Lepisosteus oculatus: one gene and its partner. The protein of the gene in region 2 interacts with the protein of the main gene of each other region in a pairwise test. Links are inferred from orthologs where the notes say so. Each region holds a gene or a part of one and is shown on either strand. Other genes may lie near its edges.

What was found.
Region 1: the proteins of rad54b (region 2) and sumo1 interact in a two-hybrid assay, tested with the Homo sapiens proteins (2 studies listed by BioGRID and IntAct). The two-hybrid records come from large-scale screens. The link is inferred for Lepisosteus oculatus from reciprocal best matches to the Homo sapiens genes RAD54B and SUMO1.

Annotation. Positions count from the first base shown.
Region 1 is NC_090707.1:34,431,746-34,441,710, forward strand, and holds the start of sumo1 (small ubiquitin-related modifier 1), read left to right. Parts: upstream 1-5,870; 5' UTR 5,871-6,013; coding exon 6,014-6,025; intron 6,026-9,965. Other genes in the region: nop58 (nucleolar protein 58), read right to left, coding at 317-381, 727-863, 1,624-1,748, 2,318-2,370, 2,736-2,812, 3,807-3,851. UniProt on the Homo sapiens protein: Ubiquitin-like protein that can be covalently attached to proteins as a monomer or a lysine-linked polymer.
Region 2 is NC_090705.1:7,543,776-7,554,319, reverse strand, and holds the start of rad54b (DNA repair and recombination protein RAD54B), read left to right. Parts: upstream 1-6,399; 5' UTR 6,400-6,482; intron 6,483-6,504; exon of another isoform or gene 6,505-6,860; intron 6,861-7,683; 5' UTR 7,684-7,701; coding exon 7,702-7,848; intron 7,849-8,877; coding exon 8,878-9,049; intron 9,050-10,544. Other genes in the region: rnf41l (RING finger protein 151), read right to left, coding at 85-224, 609-814. UniProt on the Homo sapiens protein: Involved in DNA repair and mitotic recombination. May play an active role in recombination processes in concert with other members of the RAD52 epistasis group.

The sequences.
Region 1 (9,965 bases), on a different chromosome or scaffold from region 2:
CCGATTCAATTATTAAAACCCTAAAAGGCACTGCCAAAGTCTGGTCAGAATCAGCAGGGAAATGTTGAGGGCACAAATGAAAACAAAGGGGAAGTGATTTTAAAACTAAGAACAGGAGGCACCTTTTTTATACAGCCTCCTCTTATTTGTAACATATCCCATGTTCTTAAAATTGGAGGATTACCAATGAGATCTTTAAAGCAAAGCACATTTATATATTTGCAGTCAGGAACCTACGTAAAATACAGAAATTGCGGGAGAACAGTTGAACCTATGGTACTTTACAAACATTTTTTATATCTTAACTGTTACTTACAGATAGCTTGGACGATCATGGTATCCACTTTATCTGGGCTGAACTTCAGCTTGTACCGAGACAGGCTGGGGAAAAAAAAACAACCACAAGACAATCTGAGCACAGAACCACCAGCAACAAACCTCTTCCAAGACTGACAACCGATTCTGGAATTCTGGAATTAGGCAGGTCACATCATGACGTTTAATATCAAAAACCTAACACTGCAGAATGACAACTCTGTACAACTCTGCATTACCCATGCGATCGAGGCTTGCCGTCTCAGTGGTAGTGACGAATTCTGACGAGATTCTTCACGAAGCATTTCAGCCAGCAGAATGTAATCATTGACAGCGCAGCCCCGCTCAGCCAGAAAGGGTTTGATTTGCGCCCCCACCCTATCCCCCTCTGTCCTGGGGAGCTCCACCCACCTGTGAGCCAGCCCCAGGGCCATGGCACTCATCTCCCTGGGGGGCAGGCCGGTGATCAGCCCCTCCATCTGGTTCCGGATCCCCCTCATGAGCTCCGCCACGGCTGGGCTGTGCACGCAGCTCAGGTTCAGCTTGTCCTGTGGGGGGCGGAGTGGGATCTTAGTACACACACACACCAGGAGGACATCGTGTTTTACCTCTAGGCTGCCATTTAACAACCCCCCACCCAATACACCCTATCAAACTGTCTCACAACGCATCTCCAAAGTGCTTTGATCCAATACAGACACCAAGAATAAGATGTAAACTTTAAATCATACCGACACTTTATATTGTCTACTACCAACAAAAGAAATTGAAGTCTATCCCACTGCTTTAATGATGCAGGTGCAGCACACCTGGCAGACATCCAACTTTAAGTGATCTCAACAAGATCTAACACCCTTGTCAACCTTACAAGAGCCTGACACTGATGGCTGCTGGGAGCACTGCGGGTTCTGTGTTTTTAATTGAGGAAGGAAATCAAAGAAGCAACATGAGGTTTTCTGCCATTTCCTTCTTAATATTTAAGAATGCACACAACTATCAATGCCTGCGGGTTCTCAACCAGTGAAAAGGCGCAGCTAAGGTTTTTTTTCTGGTGTCAGAGCTACCCTGAACTGCTTGATTGACAGCAGGAAAAAGTCCTTGACACGTGGCAATCACAGGAGCTGGGAATCACCTCCCTAGCCGCGTGATCTGGGGGGAATCTTTTAACAGGCTGACAGAATTCTTGGGATCATTAAGCCACTGGAAACCAAAGACACAAAAAAAGGGGCCTCCGCATTCGCAAACGCGGAAACTTCAAAACGTCAACCGGTCATCTTTACGCAAAGGCCCAGGGAGCCGCGGTCGTACTTTGATCACGCCGCCCAGTTTGGCATCGCTGATGGCCAGCTGCTCGTGGGCTTCCTTCGCCACAACCCTCTTCAGGACCTTCTTCAGGCTCTTCCCGATCTTGCCCTCCACCAATGCGGTGGCAGCTAGCGAGAGATTTGGACAGCGTTAGGCGTGGCGGGCAGACCAGCAATGGCCAAAACAAACCACCAAGGAGCGGAGGGAGAAGCCCGTGGCCCACAAACGCCAGCAGGCAATGTTTCTCCCCCGAATGCGATCGATTCTCCCGCTGCACTGCTGTCTCAGTGGTAGTGACGAAAACTGAAAATTGACCTCATTTGTTTTTCACTCAGGCAACACAGAATGCATCATCGACAGCAGAGTCAAAAGTAAAAACTACCATGTAGGCCTTAACTGCATTTTTTTACAGGTTTCCTTTTTTTGTTTGAGTACTGGTTGTCAACGGCTCTCACAGAACATAACTGTAAAAGTTAGGGGTGAACTAACTAAGGATATGACAATATCTGTGTATTAAACTAACAGAATAAAAACAGTTTCTCACAAAAACCTTTTTTGTATGTTCACGTACAAGCACAGGAAGCAATAAAACCAAAAACTTTTCGCATCAGGAGACGCGAAGAACCACATACATGGAAGTGCAGGACTGTTTGGGATACCACTAAATTCTTAAATTGAACCCCAAAAAACATCGTACCTGCCAGTGCTTCTGTGGTGTCCTGGAATTTTTCAAAGTGTTTGAGTTTCACTCTGGCAAAAGAAAGATTAAATTCAGATCAAACAATCAGAAAAAAAGAACTGACTTAAGCGTATTCAAAACACTTGATAAAATAACACATATCCAGAGCAGACTGTTTAATCTGTACAGGAATTGTCACCAGCCTAACACAGTACTCTGTCAATCAGATTAAATAAAATGACTTGTTTTATACAATTCTGTCCAAAGTATGCATACTGTAGGTTTTCCACTTAAATAAAAGCTTAGTCTAGTTTCTGGGAAGTTGAAGATTTATACAGAAGGGTTGATTTCAATCCTAGAGGTTGGTAACATACCTACAAGGTAAAAGAAAAGCCTTTAAACGTTTAAAAAAACCACAAAATGAAAATGTATTTACATTTTATTTGCTCTTTCTGGAGTCTGGAATTCTTCCCACAATTTGTCCACCTCCTGGAGTTTTTTCTCATTGAGAACCTGAAAAAAAAGTTTAAGGGGTTAGAAACACTAAAAAGAGTCGCCTGTCGACTCACTATGGATTAACTCATTTTTAAACAGATCTTGGGCTACACTGCTTATCCTTACCGGTTGTCTTATTCGACATTTTCTTATTAAACGATTTTGACTTCGACCATTCCATCAAGACAGATATATCAACTCCCACTCCCACTGAGCGTTCAATAAAGTTCCCCAATGTAGCTGCACCTATTCCCCGTCAAGCCAACAGAACGAACGTCTCTTTACCTGCTTTGTAACATTTTGTGTAAATGCAGAACTACATTTTCCCTCATACTTTTCACCCTGGAATTAACGTCTTTTTCTTGTTGCATCAGCAAAGTTTAACAAGAAAAAAACACAACGTGAAATCGTGCCCTGCGTTAGAGATCATATTGAGATCAAACACGCCGAGCCAAAAGTTGTTCCAATGCAATACACCTCTAACCATCTAACGATACTTTTCTGAAACTGTTTAGCGTTTCGCTAAATATATATATAAAAAGTGGACGATCGTTTCTTTCATGCGCCCAGAATTCTGAAACCTTTCAAAAAAAGGTTTATTAGCTGCGATTTTCAGATTCTCTCTCTACTCGTCTCAGCAGGCTGTTTTCATTCCGATTTCTGCAAGATCGAGCAATCAGATTTGGAAAGCATGAAAGTTAAAAGTCCTCGACCTAATGCCAAGTTACATGTAACCCATGTGGCCAGTCTGCACGCAACGTGGTAGCAGAGAGCGACGGGCCCGCACTCCAAACTTCTTCCCCTACACCTTTTCGTAGACAATTTCGCACACCAAGATCACCGCGTACCACCATTCATGCCCAGATCATTTTAATTTCCCTTAAAACACTTTTATTTGAATGAACATATCGGCAACGCGGGCAAAAAGGACACGCACACGGTAGCACAAGATGGTCCCTTTGCTCTCCTTAGTTCAAATTACTGAAGCCCCCACCCATTTATTTTTCCTTACCTTAAAAATTGCATAGCCAGCGGCGGTCTCGAACAGCACCAACATCTTCGATCATCTAAGGACGTTTTCCAGCCTCTAAACGTGGATTTTTCCTTTACTTAGGATCGGCACGCTCCTCCACCACGGGCTTCTGCAGAGACCCTCCACGCGGTGTAGGATCCCGAGACTGCGCACTCCAGGCGCCTGCGCGCGGGGGCGGAGCCGCACACCGGAAACGGAAGGGCTGTGTTAGGAACCGGAGACGAGACCCAGGAGGCACGCTCGAGTGTTTCCGAACCTTTCCGAGTCTTTCCGAAGGCCCATTGAGTGTTTTAAAATGGTTTCAATGTAATGGGTGCTCATCAAGAAAGATCCGACAATACACTTTTGCCTGTCTCGCCTCGCACCTTTTTGCTTATCAGATACAAAAAACCCGTGAATATATCACAAATAATCACAAATAAATTTGACATTGGATGGACGGACATTGTGCTTTGGCTATCCAGTCAAAGCGTTTTGATGGCATACTTATTTCGAAAATACGTCACACGCGGTTGTGTTATATCAAGCCTTCAGCTCACGCAAAAAATGTCAGTTGCATTAGACAAGGACGTTTATTTAAGGGAATAAATAAAAGAAGAACTTTTAGTCTTCTGATGCTGAATGTTTTTTGTATAATGATAAGAAAGAGACACTCACGGCTCTAAGTCTTGACACTGTACAAGTGTATTCATTTATACTATTAATTTACTACATTGGCATTGATCAACAGTTCTTATTTTAAAGTTCTTATACAGACATACTGTATTTAAGGGATGCACTTTGGTGCAGTGGTTAGCAGTCTCACAGTGCTGGGGTTCAATTCCTGGGCTGCTATCTCTGTGCTCAGTTCTACCTCTGGGTGCTCTTCTTTCCTCCTACAGTTCAAAGACATACTGTTAGGTTAAATGGCTTCTGGGAAGATTGACCCTGGTGTGTCTGTCTGCCCTGTGGTTGACTGGTGTAATGGATGGATGATTTTTCCCATAGGAAAACAAGACCCGGCCTATAATAAACACCAGTCCTTAAGAGAACACGGTATTCAGCATTGGTCATCACAGTCTCAGGTAGAACATTTACAGTATGAGCTGAAGAAAGCAGATTTCAGGCACAGATCACACAACCAAAAGACGTTCGATATGAGAACCTTAGGATGAGACGTAAAACCGAGTTCCTGACTCTCTGTGGTCATTAAATATGCCAGGGCGTTTCTCGAAAAGAGTAGGGGGTGTAACCCCAGCGTCCTGGCCAAATTTCCCATTGGCCCTTACCAATCATGGCCTCCTAATAATCCCCATCTATGAATTGGCTTCATCACTCTGCTCTCCTCCCCACTGAGAGCTGATGTGTGGTGAGTGTACTGGTGCCCTATGGCTGCCATCGCATCATCCAGGTGGATGCTGCACATTGGTGGTGGTGGTAACTTGTGTAATGTATTAATATAATATTAGACTACTGAACGTATATAGTAGATACTATATTGGTTCTACTAGATACTATATTGGTAAGTACTATTGTAGCTCTACAGTATAGTATTTCAGTACACCTCGCAGTGTATACCATAATATTTCACTCTAATATTTAACCATATCACAAATATATATATATAAAGTCCATACTATAGTAATGTTACAGCACATACTGTACATTAGTTAAGAATTTCCCAAATTATAGATGTTATAAAATATAAATTATATTATCATTCAAATAAACAAAATGTTATTTTAGTTGTTATATTAATCTATAGACTCATACTACACGTCCATCCTATAGTAAAGTGCTGTAATTTTCCAAACATGTTTTATATTGTCTTCTAAGCTTTCACGAATAGGGCATGAGCTAACTTTATAAAACAGAGCTCTTCAAAGAATATATGCGTCCTCATTATTTTCACTGGGATGAATCTTAATCAGACCCGGTACCTTTGCCAACGTGGGTCTCCCTGTAAGCAGGATGTACGAAGAGGACCATCCGAAAAGCACATTTTAAAAACAAAATTGTTTTCTCTTTGGCTACACGACCAAATGACGTCACTTCCCGAGGAAGTCCCTCCCCGATTCCAATGAGGTCAGTGTCTGTGTTTTTGTGGGGGGATTGTAGGAAAGAGAAGAGCGCTTAATACTAAATAACATCATCATAAAATATCAAAGATTTAGTTGTAAGAGTCACAGGGAAAAACAGAAGCAAGCATGTCTGATACGGTAAGTCTGTGATCTGTGTATAGGAACTAAACATCTATATTAGCTGATCAGACTCGGTGTTTTCGGGCGCATAGCGTGCGTGTACTGTGAATCAAGATACAGCCTGAATAATAAATAATTATATTTTACTTTTATGAAAAAAATACAGTATATTAACCAGTAATGGAATGGGCGTTTAAAACTTTGTCAGAAACTAACGGGTCTGTTCAAGAGGAGTTGAGATATCTGCAATTTACAGCGCCGATGTGCTTAGGGGTACTGTTCTTGATGTCTCAGAATTTAAACGAAATAATCTTTAAAAAAATCGAGAGTGGGGAAGGCTGGGTTGTCTTTCGGTACAGTGCATGCATTTGTTTTGCCGAAAAATTAACAAATGTGTAGGGATTGTTTTTTAGGACTCTTCGGTATTCAGTGAAAAGCGATCGTGGCCCACTGGTACTGTCGGGAGTGAAACTGAAAATAAATGGATTGTTGTAGTTCGGAGTTGAAATGAAGGTTTTTGTTACTTAAGTGAAGTTAATTTCCTTCCGAAGCTGAACAGTAGATTTTGTTCTTCGCAACGTAATAAAAGGGCAGGAAAGCACATCGAGTCCTTAAAATAGGTGTCGAGACACAAGTAACTGCTTAAGGAGTTGTATTTAACATAAGCGGTAGTACAGTGATGGATGATAGTAGTTTGAACATTTTTATGTTTTCATATTTTTATGATTGTCTTTTAAGATGAGAAAAAGGGCACTAAAACCACCATATTGCTTGATATAATAGATACAATAAACGTATGTCTGTTGGCCTCTACAACTCTGGGATTTGTAGAAAGCAGCAGAAATGGCTTCCTACTTGCCTTTGCATATATTTGCCTCTGCCTTCCTTACATGAGTAGAGCCTGCAGTTATGGTGAACTTGGGCCATGAGAGTGTTGTGTTGTATGGTCCCATAGGACCGCAGTTCAGCAAAAGGTCTGCATCTCTATACGATTCTTGCTTTTGAGCTTCAGAAAGAGTTAACTCAATTAAAGAGATCAAGTGGAAAGGATCTTAAAGAAGGCTGCAATCCATCACCCCAGATCTGATAGATGCTTTAATGGCAAGACACTGGGATAATGAGTGGGGGAAAAAAAGGAATTATTTCTGAAGTTTGTGTGGACACAAAGACGAGGCCTACAGTGTAAAGTTGAGCCTGTCTGTTAAGATTATTGGCAATTCTGTCATGGATTGGCTCGACACAAATGTGCCGCGAGTCAAGAATTAACTAGTAAAACATACATGTGATATTATAGCTTCACACATTAAGACAGGGAACCCCAAAAAAACGCAAAAGCCCAAAACCCCATATGTTTGTTGGTTGTTTTGCCAGCCGCAGTGCTTATATTTAAGTTGCTGACTTCCAAACACACAAGTAGAGGGATGTAGAAGCCGAACTGATATCCTATAGCCACCTCAAAATCCAGCAGTGGTAGTAAAATAATTTGTTTGCCACATTGTCACGACAACAGCTCTTCGAAGGTTTAGAACTCCCTTAAACGGGTAGATAACAAAGAAACCCTTTGGCGCAGCCCTTAAACTTGCAGGGATTTGACGAAAAAGCGTGTTTGTAGCGCCGCGAAAAAACAGTGAGGTAACTATCAATGAATGTAGTTTCTCTGATCAGAGATTTGGGTGCAGCGCCGGGGCCGTGGGTTAAATTCCTGGAGCTGGGGTGCTGTCTGTGTGGAGTTTGCATGTCCTCCCTATGTGTACGTGGGTTTCCTCTGGTTGCTCTTACAGTCCACGAACGTACCCGCAGTTTAATTGGCCCGAGGGGCGAGTGTGTGTGTGCCCTGCGATGGATAGGCATGCTTTCCTGGGTGAACCCTGACTTGTTAGCCTGTTGTTAGTCCTGATTGGCTCCAGCTCCCCTGTGACCCTGTATCGGATAAAGTGGTTACGAACTGGATGGAGGATCAGAGATTTCAGGTACATTAGGACCTCACTGCAAATTCTTTCTTTGTTTTATGCTCTTTTAAATACTGAGTTAAGTGTTGTATAGCGCCGAATGAGACACTTTCTGTATCGGCCTCTCTGTGTGCATCTGTGAGCTCAGCGCTGTTTATTCAGAAGACAAAAACAGAGATGGAACCAAATATAATCTTAACTGTACAAAGCAGTTGTTATGGATACCACCTATTACACGAATTGTTTCCTGGAATGGGTTTTCGAAGAATTTTACGGTTAATCTTGTAGAACTTTAACCATCACGGGCATAATATTGTAGGGGCAGCTGTTTTCAAAGATCCATACAAACCAAGGATGGGAACAGAGCTTTGTTCTTTTTGACAATATACAGGAGACACAGGCCCAGACAAACTGGAGAATTCTAAACGCAGGTCTGCTCTTTACAGAGGCAGTGTACAACTTACGTACACTTCCTGTATGTTTTCATTAAAGCAATTTTCATTTGTATCCTTCATTATTCATTTTTTTTCCATCCTAGGTATGCTGTGTAAATACTTTGTTTCTGTTTTGACCACTTTGCGTTACAAGCCGATGCTGCTGTTGTGTTACAGATCGATTGCGGGATGTGCAGTTGAAATGAGATTGTTCTGCTGATATCTGAGACTTACATTTAAAAATAATAATAATTGCTTACATTTATATAGCACTTTTCTGGACATTCCACTCAAAGCGCTTTACAGGAAATGGGGACTCCCCTCCACCACCACCAATGTGCAGCCCCACCTGGATGATGCGACGGCAGCCATAGTGCACCAGAACGCTCACCACACATCAGCTATCAGTGGGGAGGAGAGCAGAGTAATGAAGCCAATTCATAGATGGGGATTATTAGGAGGCCATGAGTGGTAAGGGCCAATGGGAAATTTGGCCAGGACACCGGGGTTACACACCTACTCTTCTCAAGAAACGCCCTGGGATTTTTAATTATCAAAGAGAGTCAGGACCTCGGTTTTATGTCTCATCTGAAGGATGGCACCTTTTTAGAGTATAGTGTCCCTGTCATTATACTGGGTTATTAGGACCCACATAGACCACAGGGTGAACGCCCTCTGCTGGCCCCACTAACACCTCTTCCAGCAGCAACCTTAGTTTTTCCCAGGAGGTCTCCCATCCAGGTACTGACCAGGTTCACACCTGCTTAGCTTCAGTGGGTTGCCGGTTGTGAGTTGCAGGGTGATATGGCTGTTGGAAGCACTATTTTAGGGGTGGAGAACCCTTAGGCTGGATGTCTAAGTCAAGAATGAAAGAACATTTACAAACGAGAGGAGTCCATTTGGCTCATGGTAGGTAGTAGCAATTCATAAGTTTGTAAAGACTTGAAGCACATCTAAGCATTGATCAGTTCAGTAAGTTAATTGGTTCAATAAGTCCGGAAAAGCCAACTACAGTCCTTGAGTGCTACAGGGTGTTGGTATTTTGTTAATTTAGAAGGTCTCTGAACTACTTAATTGAAAGCCAAGGTTTTTCATCAGAATTCCTTTGGTTCTGGATGGTTCTACGCAAACACATTGGGCAAACACACAAAACCCATTGCTCTCTGCTGTCAATAAATGTTATGGGTGGAGCATAGAGCTGAAACCAACCAGCCTTAAACCTAAGAATCGAAAGTGAGCAATTAAGACAAAATGATCATTTCCTCACTGCCGTTCCTACCTTGCTGGTGTTGAAGTTGATTACGTGTGACTCATAAAACCTGCTGAGTTGTGGTTGCTCATGACCAGGACTGGACAAGCCTATTAAAATTGGCCCGCCACCTTTATAATTCTCCTTGACATTTACTCTGGTTGAAATTGGAGACATATCATCACCAGCTGTTGTGGCTGGGCTATCAAATGAGTAAATCTGATGTAATCTTGGAGAGATGGGAGCAAACCAGGACATGCACAAACAAAACCCACTAGAGAACAAGCCGCAAAAATAAGATCAAGAATGCAGATGCAAGACTCCAT
Region 2 (10,544 bases):
CTTAATACCTAAAGCGGGCTCGTCGGTACACTGATTTTGAAGAGTATTAAGGGCGGATGCCGTTTCTGAAAGCACAGCGCTTACCCGTGTTTGTACAGGCAACCTGGCTGTACTCGCACTCTCTCTCGTGCCTGTCGACGGACTCCAGAGAGCACACCATCTCGCAGCCGTGCTCCCTGTTCCGGCAGCGGATCTGCAGCCGGCTCAGGTCGTTGCGCATGTACCTGCGGAGAAGACAGCGCTGGGACAGGAGTCCACTGGTCTCCGCCTCGCCTATTTTTCCCCTTCCTCCCCCTTGTGGTTGTTTTTTTTCTTTTGGAATGCAATCACAACTAAATGCAATGTCAATCCATCTTCTTTATTACTACTGTACTATTATTATTATGGGATACACTGATGCTACTGCTATGACGAATAATACTATACTATTAATATAATAATATCTAGACAGATAAATATAGTATAATATCAAATAAAATAATATCATATCAGATATGATATATGATAATATAATATCAAATAATATCATATCATACCATATCAGATATAATATGATATGTTATGATGATATCATATCATATCCAGATGAATAATGTCTGTGCGGTTACCTGAACAAGGGCCGCAGCAGGGAGGCGTCGAGGGCCTGCCTGTCTTCGGGGCAGGTGTGGTGGTGGACCAGCCAGCCGTGAATGCAGGAGCTGCAGAAGGCGTGCTCGCAGGGCGCCTGCAGGGGGTCCTCCAGCACATCGCGGCACACGCAGCACAGCAGGCCCTCGTTCACGTAGCCCACAAACCGCTCGAGGTCATAACCCATCTGGCACGCCCACTGAGACACGGACACACGGGGAAAGAAATCCCCCTCATCAGGTAGACGATCTTCTTCAAAAAACAAACTCTCATGCGTGTTATTTCTTTTTCATTGACCTCAGGGGTGGCTGGTAGCATTATCGTCAGAAAAACAGGCTCCCTGATGCAGATTAAGCAATTTACTACTGGCAAACAAACCGCAAATTGGAGTCAAAACATAACTATTACCACATCAACGAGGAAACATAAAAGATACCTGGCTGTAGAGTATATAAGGATAATAAGCATGCATCACAGGGAAAACAAGAATGCGAAGTCTCAAGACTCCATGACTTGCACCATCAAACCTGCAGGATTAAAATTGAACTGAGATTGCTTTAAGGCCCATAATTCTCATTTCAAAAAGCCAGTTACAAACATCAGCATTAAGGCTTAAAGAGCAAGAGGTAATAGCTGGCGAGCAGCTACAGACTGCAGTTGTACTGCACGTCGCCTATTGAGTTTCAAGGCACAGCATACATCTTTAATTACATTCTGCTGTGGACACAGACCTCGAGAATCACACTGCAGACATCACGACAACGAACGGCAGGATACAGGAAAGGTGAGCACGCACCGACGTGTGAAGATAAAAGATAGTAACAGAAAAACACCTCTCCCGATGCTCTGTTTGTTCATCTTCAATTGTCTAGTTCACTTCACTCTCCTTCTCACCTTTTAAGGCTCCCTGTAATCCTTCACTCCTGCCCCTGACACTGCCTGTATGGGGGGGAGACAGAAACGTGGTATGAGCTGTTGAGTTTCCTAAGAAACAGATACTTGGAGCCCAAACAGCCAGTTGTTGAACAAAGCAAACAATAACCCCGCGTTCACATGGGCAGAGCTTCAGCCTTTCCCCTAGAGAGCATTCCCACAGAGGTGTAGCATGTCAGCCACCCCCAGCCCTCTGCTGAGATACCGGACACAGTGCCCGCCTTAGCCATCCGAATAAAGAGCCTCCTTCTTCACGGCTTCCAATTTCGCCTGCTAAATTAGTGCAAAAAAAAAAAATACCCAGAATTCAGAATTGTAAACAAAAATATGTAAAAAAAAATAAATTTTTGAATTTCTTATGGTGTATAGCCATATCTTTTTAAATGTGCTCTGATGTCTGATATGAAGAAAAATTAGAAATAAGAGGCAGCCACTGGCCTGTCCTTTAGCTTCTCACTGCTGGGGCACAGTGCAAACCTTCCTAAAGGTGAAAGGACTTCACTGGGTAGTTCACTTCACACTCAAGATGGGGTTTGCCTAATGGATTATTTCACCGTAATTTATGACACATTCTGTCTTGTGCGTTTCTTACTCTGTAGTGGTGATGCTCTGCTGCCGGGTCCGGAAATATTCCTAATTGAAATTCTTCCTCACTGCTCTTCTACCAAGGGGTTAAGAGATAACGTCTGGTTAATTTCACTTTTGGTGACCTTTCTAAAATTTTAAATGACAAAACAGGAGCATCGGTTAGAGAACAAACATATCAGGGTTGAGTAAAAGCTAAAAAAACTATTTATATTAGCTGGGACATACCAATAAAAAGTGATTGTTGGCTTTACCTTTAATGTTGATTAAAAAAAAAACTTTGTGAGAAATGGCTACAGTGTAAATATTAGCCATACATGACATCCCCTTCATGAGATGGGTCATGGTTTCATTTGAAAACTTGCAAGTAGGCCCATCTTCTACTGTAAATATTTCCCTTCAATTCTTGCAATGTAAAATGTAAGGCTGAAAAGCTGGGATTTTCCCATTTCTGACCAGATTTAATTACATAACCTAACATTTCTGTACATGTCTGATAGATTGTACACTACGCCCTTGTTTCATTTTATGCCTGAAATCTGAGTCTGAGGCCCATCACAGAGTTAAATGCAAAGTGTCAGGCAAATTTCAAGGGAAGGGAATTGCCAAGGGAAGGGGATGTGCCCTATTTGAAAAAGTATATTTACTGCTTTGATGTTTAGATGTCAATACCACAAGGTCTGAGCCAATAAGAATATGTTGAAAAGTACAGAAATTATAGACACTTAGGAGTTATACTAGACAATGTTTACAGAAAGGCTAAATGATTGATACATAATTATCAATTATAGTCCCCATAAAGTACTCCAATAAAATGGTTAAAAATGCATTTTAAAAGACAGAAATGAATGATTGTGATAAACCTGCTCTGCTTTTTATTAGTCCAAATCCAAACTGGCAAAAAAATCAATTTTGATAGAAAATCAATAATTGCATTACGAGTATACATTACATTTCCAGACAAACACACCTTAATCTTAAACTTGCTACTGAAAGTCTCTCTCTTGCATATCAAAGCAGAAAAAAGGACATAAGTATCAACCTTGCAAAAATAAAATCAAACATTCTGAGCACTTCATCATCATCATGTAAAAGTTGTGCACACAATTCTCTGACATGATCAATTTACAAGGAAGCAAATGTCCTCTTTTTTGGCTTTGAGGGTCACTCACTTAATTGCAGCAAGTGCAATGAATCCAAGTTAGTTCAGGAGTTTAGTTTTCCTCGGAGTCACTGGTGATAGAAGCCGCCCCTTCTCATTAAACACTCCTTTTGTTGCAGCACTTTCAATAGATGCGTTAGTGCAGCTCCCCTCAAAGGACTGGCTTCCCATCCAGAGGGAGAACAAGCAAATGCGCTCCCAGCCCTGCCTGGTGCCTCTGGCTTGCTCTGACTCCTACCAGGATAAGCAGCTTTATGATACTGGATGGATGTTAGGATTCGCTAGTCTTACACCTCCATTTTACTAAACGTACTGATTGTTCAAATCAATTCTCACTATATTAGGTGCAACAATGGAGGCCCAGCGCTCATGTGACCCTCAGCTGACGTGATATCGTGTCTGGAGTGAAATGGATTCCTTTTCGAATAAGATAACCTCAATCAACCAGCACTTAAGCTACCATGACCTTGAATGCACTTAGAATCTCCCTACAAGTTAATGGTATTAGCTTAATGACATTTCAGCAGTGTAGAACAAAATCCACAATTTCACCTTCCACTGTTAGTAGAGAGGTGTCTTTGTAGTTTATATCAAGCAGTCTAAAAAACAAAGACCAAAATGTATTCTGACTGCAAAGGCGTTCAGTTCAAAACCCCTCCTTCACTGACTGAATTTCTTCTCTTTTTTAGAAACCTTTTTGCATAAGGGACATTTTACAACTGCCTGACATTTGTAACATATGCTCAATCTGTCTACACCAATATCAAGAAAACAAATATTACACACAAATACTGTTATGGAAGGCTGTCACTCTGGAAAAAAAAGATAAATTAGCACCATCACCTAAAGTACCTCAAGGCACATGGTACATAAGTCAGCATTTAAGTAACCGCCATGTCAAAGATTATTCTTACAACTCCGCTGTAGGTGACGATACCCTGAATATAACACACTACTTTATGGTAGAGTCATCCGAAAAACAACAAGCCATTACAAAACACTGTCAACACAGAGGGTGGCATGGCATGGTGGCACAAGGGTTAGCGTTGATGCCTCGCAGTGCTGGGGCCCTTGTTTCCATGCCGGACCTGGGCTGCTGTCTGTGTGGAGTTTGCATGTTCTCCCCATGTTCACATAGGTTTTCTCCTACAATCCCAGGACATATTGGTAGGTTAACTGGCTTCAGGGAAAACTGGCCTTGGTGTGTGTACGACTGTGTGTGCTGGTGCCCCTTTCAGTGTGTACCCCGCCTCGTGCCCCTTGTGCCAGGCTCCTCCTGTGAATGGGATGCATTGGCGTGGTTAGAAAATCGATGGACAGATGTCAACACAGAAATTTATGAGGGAAGGCCAACAGGTAAAGTAGATGTGCGCACTATCCACTAGATGTAGTTCAGGGAAAGACTGGTTTTATTTAGCTCCACCCAGCTCTCTTACACATCCGCACACTTCTGCCACTGCGTCAGAGGGCCTAGGGTGCCCTAAAGGGGCTGATGGGTCCCTGAACCACTGTGACTCAGACCTTCTCCACCGGGTAAAACAGATAGAGACGTGAGAGAGGGACTGGAGGGTGCATCACAGTCCACCACCAGCAAGGGACAGGGCTCGTGGTGTATCCCCACCCACCCTGCCATCCGGATCACACTCCCCTGGACTGGTGCGATACATGGAGCAAGTTTATCCAAGACTCAGAACTGCACAAGCTCATACCTGTGCATTTAGAACCTCCTTTTGGAACTGAATGTACGAAATTATTTAACCCAAATACAAACACAACAAATGTTTTTCTTTTTAATAAAGATAGCAGTCACACAGTGAAATCTGCCAAGCTCTGCGAGGCAGTTTGCAGATGTGCAATCTTTACTACTGCACAAATGCCTTTACCTTTTCCTTTTCATAAGCAGCATTTTCAGTGTTCAGATCAGTGTTTTCCCCCTATCTTCTAATCACAGTTTATGTTTCCACTATCTGCATGTACTGTAACCCCTTACACTGTAAGTTACAGACTGGCACTGCTGCAGTTTGTAAGCCTTGATTCTCCAGCATGCTTCATCAGACACACAACCCTTTTCCCTTGCTCTGTGCTGGTAATCGTAAATTTCTTACAAGCTGTAAGAAATTACAACTGGTAAATTCTACAACTAAGCTTCTGTGTTGTATCGTTTCGAAAGCGCAATGTTAAACTGAGATGCTATACTTACCGAACACTGTTCAGCTTCATGACGTCCACATAGAGAACGTCTATGCCATTTCAGACTACTACTTTAACAACTTCCCCCATGTTAATATCGTATTAGTAACAATGCAAGGTATCTTTACCGGATCAAACAGAAACCCTTGTTATACTGAAGCTCATGGATGCTGAGCTCAAAAGGGAAAATAATAAATATTTATTATCGTTTATTATCTTATCCTCTTACTTCGTGGTTTGTACACCTACAGTACCTAAAGTTATTGATTGTTTTGATAACCGGACAATCTTATGCAATGCTTGTACATCACCACTACACTGCTACTACTGTACGTACGAACTGTTGTTTTAAAGTTTAGTTTTTAAAATATTTACAGTTCTTTACAATTTACAGAAAGCCAGTGCAGGAGAGAAGTTGGCAGAATTCACAATGCACAGCACTATATGCATATGAAAAACATAAATCAACTTACCATTTAATATAGACTTAATTGTTACGTTTCTTATAGTATTTGAAAAGCTTTCTGCACAATGACAGTTAAACCAGTCATTTCAGTATTCAGTATTTTTGCATCAGAATGTCGTATAAAAATATTTTTTGTAATTACATGGAAGGCAAATACGAATAATTAAAACGCACCGCGTATCTTACCCTCGATTCCTCTACTTCAATGTATTTTATTTACCTGCTGTTTTCAGGTGACAAGAACCAACTGTCGCAAACTGTGGCGATATATTGACATTCACTCGGCAAAAAAAACGGCGAGGGGTGATTCGGCAGTGTGGCAGGAGCGGTTTTAAGGATTTTTCTCTTTAATTTCTAAACCCGAGCTTTCAATACGGGTGGTTCTGTATTTTATATAGAAAATGAAAAAGACTAATGATACGTTATGGACCAGATTCCTGCGTCCTATTAAAAATACATTTACATCCGCCATGAGATGGAGTGTAACGGCGACCATAATCGGTGTGGCAAGAAGTGACGGTAAAGCACAAAAAAGGTTTTTTATTTACTGATAAGATGCTTTTTTATCCACGTCTGAACATTAATCTCTTGTGTTCACGTTATTTGAGCTTATAATTATAAGGTTAATAATAGCAAGGCTATTCATTTTGCGAAATGAAGGTGGGAGCACTCGTATCTCCGCCCCATGACCGCGGCCTATCGGAGGGCGGATCCTGGTTACGCGGGAGACTTGAGTCTACGGAGGTGGCCGCCGCCGGGAGGAAATAAGAAGAGGATTTGTAGGGAAAAAAAATAATCTTTATTGTGGTATAGAGGGGTTCTGTCTACCTAGAACATAAAAACATAAGAAAGGGCGTCATTTGGCCCGTCTAGCCCGCTTGGTTGCAAGTTTCTAATGTAAGTAATAATGCGGTGCTGTATATCGTGGATAAGGTTGACTATTTTGTTTTGTTTTTTATGCCACAGTTAATAAAACGGAAGGCTGTTGGATCGTTATTATCGACGGTTCTCATTCCCACAACTACCTAGATCGGACATATAAGCACATCATTTAAAAACGGGTCTAGCTTTCAGGTAATAGACACAACATAAAGGTAATCGGACGGCCGTTTAACTGGCAGTTCTGCTTATGTGCTCTGTTTTAATATAGTAAGTCTATATAAGGTCTTTTTCGGAGATGCTAAAATAATCTTTAAGTTTCGGTACGATATGTAGCTACATATGGAACAGTTTGTGCTGTTATGTCCACTGACGTGTCAGTTTGAAGGCTAACGAGAAACGGCATGATTTTTTAAAAATGAATTTGTAATAAATCTCCCAATGAGATTACCTGTAATCTGTAATTTATTCGGATGATCATTTTTTTAATTGCTGCTTTGTTGTATGTAATCTGCATTTTGAAGTAGAGAAATGTTACTCATCATATTTTGGGAAACATATCCATAGTACTGGGCTGTTTAAATCTTATTTGCCTGAAGGATCCCTTTTCAAGAGATCAACAATACCCTCGATTTCATCCTAAGCGTAATTAGGTTGCTAGATTTAACCCTACTCTCATAAAATTCTCCCCGAGGTTAGTGAGCACCAGCGTGAGGATAGTGTTGTCCAATTACCTGTCCATCGCAATCATGGCCTTTCATTGCTATCGTAAGACCCAGGGGCCAGCAAGCCTGCCCACGCGATGCCTCAATAGAACTATTCTGTTTCTGAACTCCTGCAGGTGGGCTGGTATCTCAGTATGCGCAGGTCAGGGGCTCCAAGTCAGCTGTGTGGCAATGTGGCCAAGAAGCCCAGGTTTGTGCCCCCGGCATCGATGCACATGAGAGCTGCTTCTGTGCCCGACCCGAAACGCCCCAGCCCTCCGCTGTGCAATGCGCTGAACAAGGTAGGTAAGGCGTTCGCTCAGTAGCCCCAGGCTGCTTACAACTTCCATTTTAAACCCCCCTGTACTGTGCAGATGTTGTGAAATGGAATTTGATATTTAGGTTTATGGGCCGTAAATTACTACGCTCTAGATATGTGATTCATAAATCAGACTGACTAACTGACTGACTGAGAAGGTTCAGATTCCTTGAGACTGGGGCTTCTGCAGGATGAAGTGGAGGTAAAAAAAAAGAAAAGCTGACTACGTCATTCCCCAGTTGAGCATGCATTTCATACAGTATGATGAAGAGAAACTGAACTCGCAACATCCAAAGAACCCAAAGTAGCTGCAGCTAAAAGTATCTTAAATAATTAGACTTAGGGTTTTGTGTGGATCGCAGACTTTGTTCTGTTATTGTCCCAAAGGGATCAGCAACCAAACACTGGCTTTTACGCTATCAAGTTTGCTGAAAGTGAAGGTGTCCCAATACCCTAACCCTAACCCAGATTTTATTCTAAAATGATCATATGTATGCATGGGCTTGCCTAAAAATAAAATATACAGCGTCTTATACCAGCTCTTACTTTCCAATAATGTCCCATTTGAGTGAATTACAAATGAAGTATACACATGTTTTTAAAGTGAATATTTTGATCAGAACCTGAACGTTCTGACGTTTTATGTATAGGTTTTACAGGGAGACTGTTTCATCACTAAATAAAAGCTGAAAAAGAACCGGTGCCTTTGCTGACGTGAGCAGTGTCCTGATTTGTTTCTTCCAGATAATGAATGTCCTAGTATGCTGGCAGTGATGTCTCGGTATTTTCAAATGTAACATGTGAGAAGCCTTTTTGCATTTTGCAGTCAAACACACATTTAATCAAACCTCCCTGTCAGGGGAAATGTCCAGCAGTCCAGTGTTTCGTGCACGGTGTGTGCAATAGAACTTTCCATACATTTAAACAGCCAAGGTCTTGTAGAGTGTTTTCTTTGCTGTGGTATCATCTGCATTGTATTGATCCCTGATCTTGTCTTAACTGCTTCTTGCAGGTGACAGCTCCCCAGGAAAATAAATCGGAGGCCCCTGTCTTATCCAAAGCCTTGGCAAGAATCCTTAATGCTGTTCCCCTGGGTGACACCGAGGAGAACAGCTCAAAGCTGCAGGGACTCTCCGATAGTCTTACTGTGAGAGAAGAAGAGTCAGACCACAGGACTCCAGATGGTGAGTTGAGCATCATATCTACTAAAACTCCTCTTGGCTGTGTCTTCATAGGCTTGAGCTTTTTGACAACGTGATGTTTTGAACCTCACACTTGAGATCGAAAATCTGCTATTGTAAAAAAAAGTGGTAGTTGCCTGCTGTACAGGAATTGCAAGTGTCTTTAGTAAAACTTAAACCTTCATCAATTAAAAGTGAAAGCTGAACTTGGTGCATTGCCCTTGAGGAGATGGCTTTGTCAGTATAGAACAATGCAGCATTATGATTTTGGTCCAGTGTGATGCTACATATACAGTATAGAAGGATGGTTTCGTTTTTTCCTGCCTGGTCCAGGAAGGTGATAGATAAGTGACAAACTGTGGTTGAAAGGTGACAAATTCGAGAAAAACAAAATAGACACTTTTAGCTTTTTAGAATCTTGCATACACCTTAGAAGCATTCCTTCTTTCAGGAAGGCACTGGAGATTCTGAGCATTGTTTCAATGGTTTTGACCTTTTTTATCTGATCTTTATCTGTTCTCTGTTAATGTCATGTCTGTCCAGTTATGGTGGTAACGTTCTGTACACCATAGTCTGAATAGCGGTGTGCAGAATTAAACCTTTAAATCTGGTAGTTCATGAACAAGGTGAAAACGGATTTTAGGATATGATTTTGGGCCAGGAACAACTAATTGCTGCAAAGGTAGGAAGTGATTGGTGAATGGAGTAGGATGTAATTTTAGGTTCTTAGATATGAGGCTGCGGAGGCCCTAGTGAATTATTCTGATGTGATCTACAGTATGTTTCTACTGTAATGCTTGCTGACCATTAAGGATATAAAATGAGAGATTTCAGAAGCCCTTTATAACATACGTGTACTATGCCTTGCAACCTAATGAGAAAATGCAAATGTGGCTGTGTTTTCATATTGCATTTCTTAAAAGAATTACATTTGTGACTGTTTTTGCTAAATGCTTTTAAGGGATGATGTCATTGGTAGGTAGTTCCATTTCACTGGTAAAGGTGTGAATTTAAATTTAAGCCTTATAGATGAAGCAGCATACAGTACTTTCATGGGACAGCCTGAACTGCTATCATTAAGCAGAAGATACACTTTGAAAAATGCTTCTAATGTGTTCTTTGCATTTCTTCCGGGGGGGGTCGTTAGATGATCTGTGTTTCTGGGAGAAAGGTAGGCTACGCAAAACAAGCAGGCAGACAGAATAGTGTTATTTGCTCAATATTAAATGTTTTACCACTGTTTGTGAAGTGAGCAGAAGCTTCAGTAAGCTGGTGTACTGGAGGAGCTGCATGTGCTTTGTACAGCAGAGGCCTGGGCAGTGCTGTACTGACACTGCCTTGGCTATTCTGCTTTGATTGGGGTGTACTGAAGAGTTGTCGTGCTCATGCAGAAAATGTCTTTCATGCCAATTCACAATGTTACTCTTTGCTCTTTTTGTTTTATATTCTTGTAATTTATCCTGGAGTCTCCCTTTTGTCCTTGTTTCGGATGTTCCTG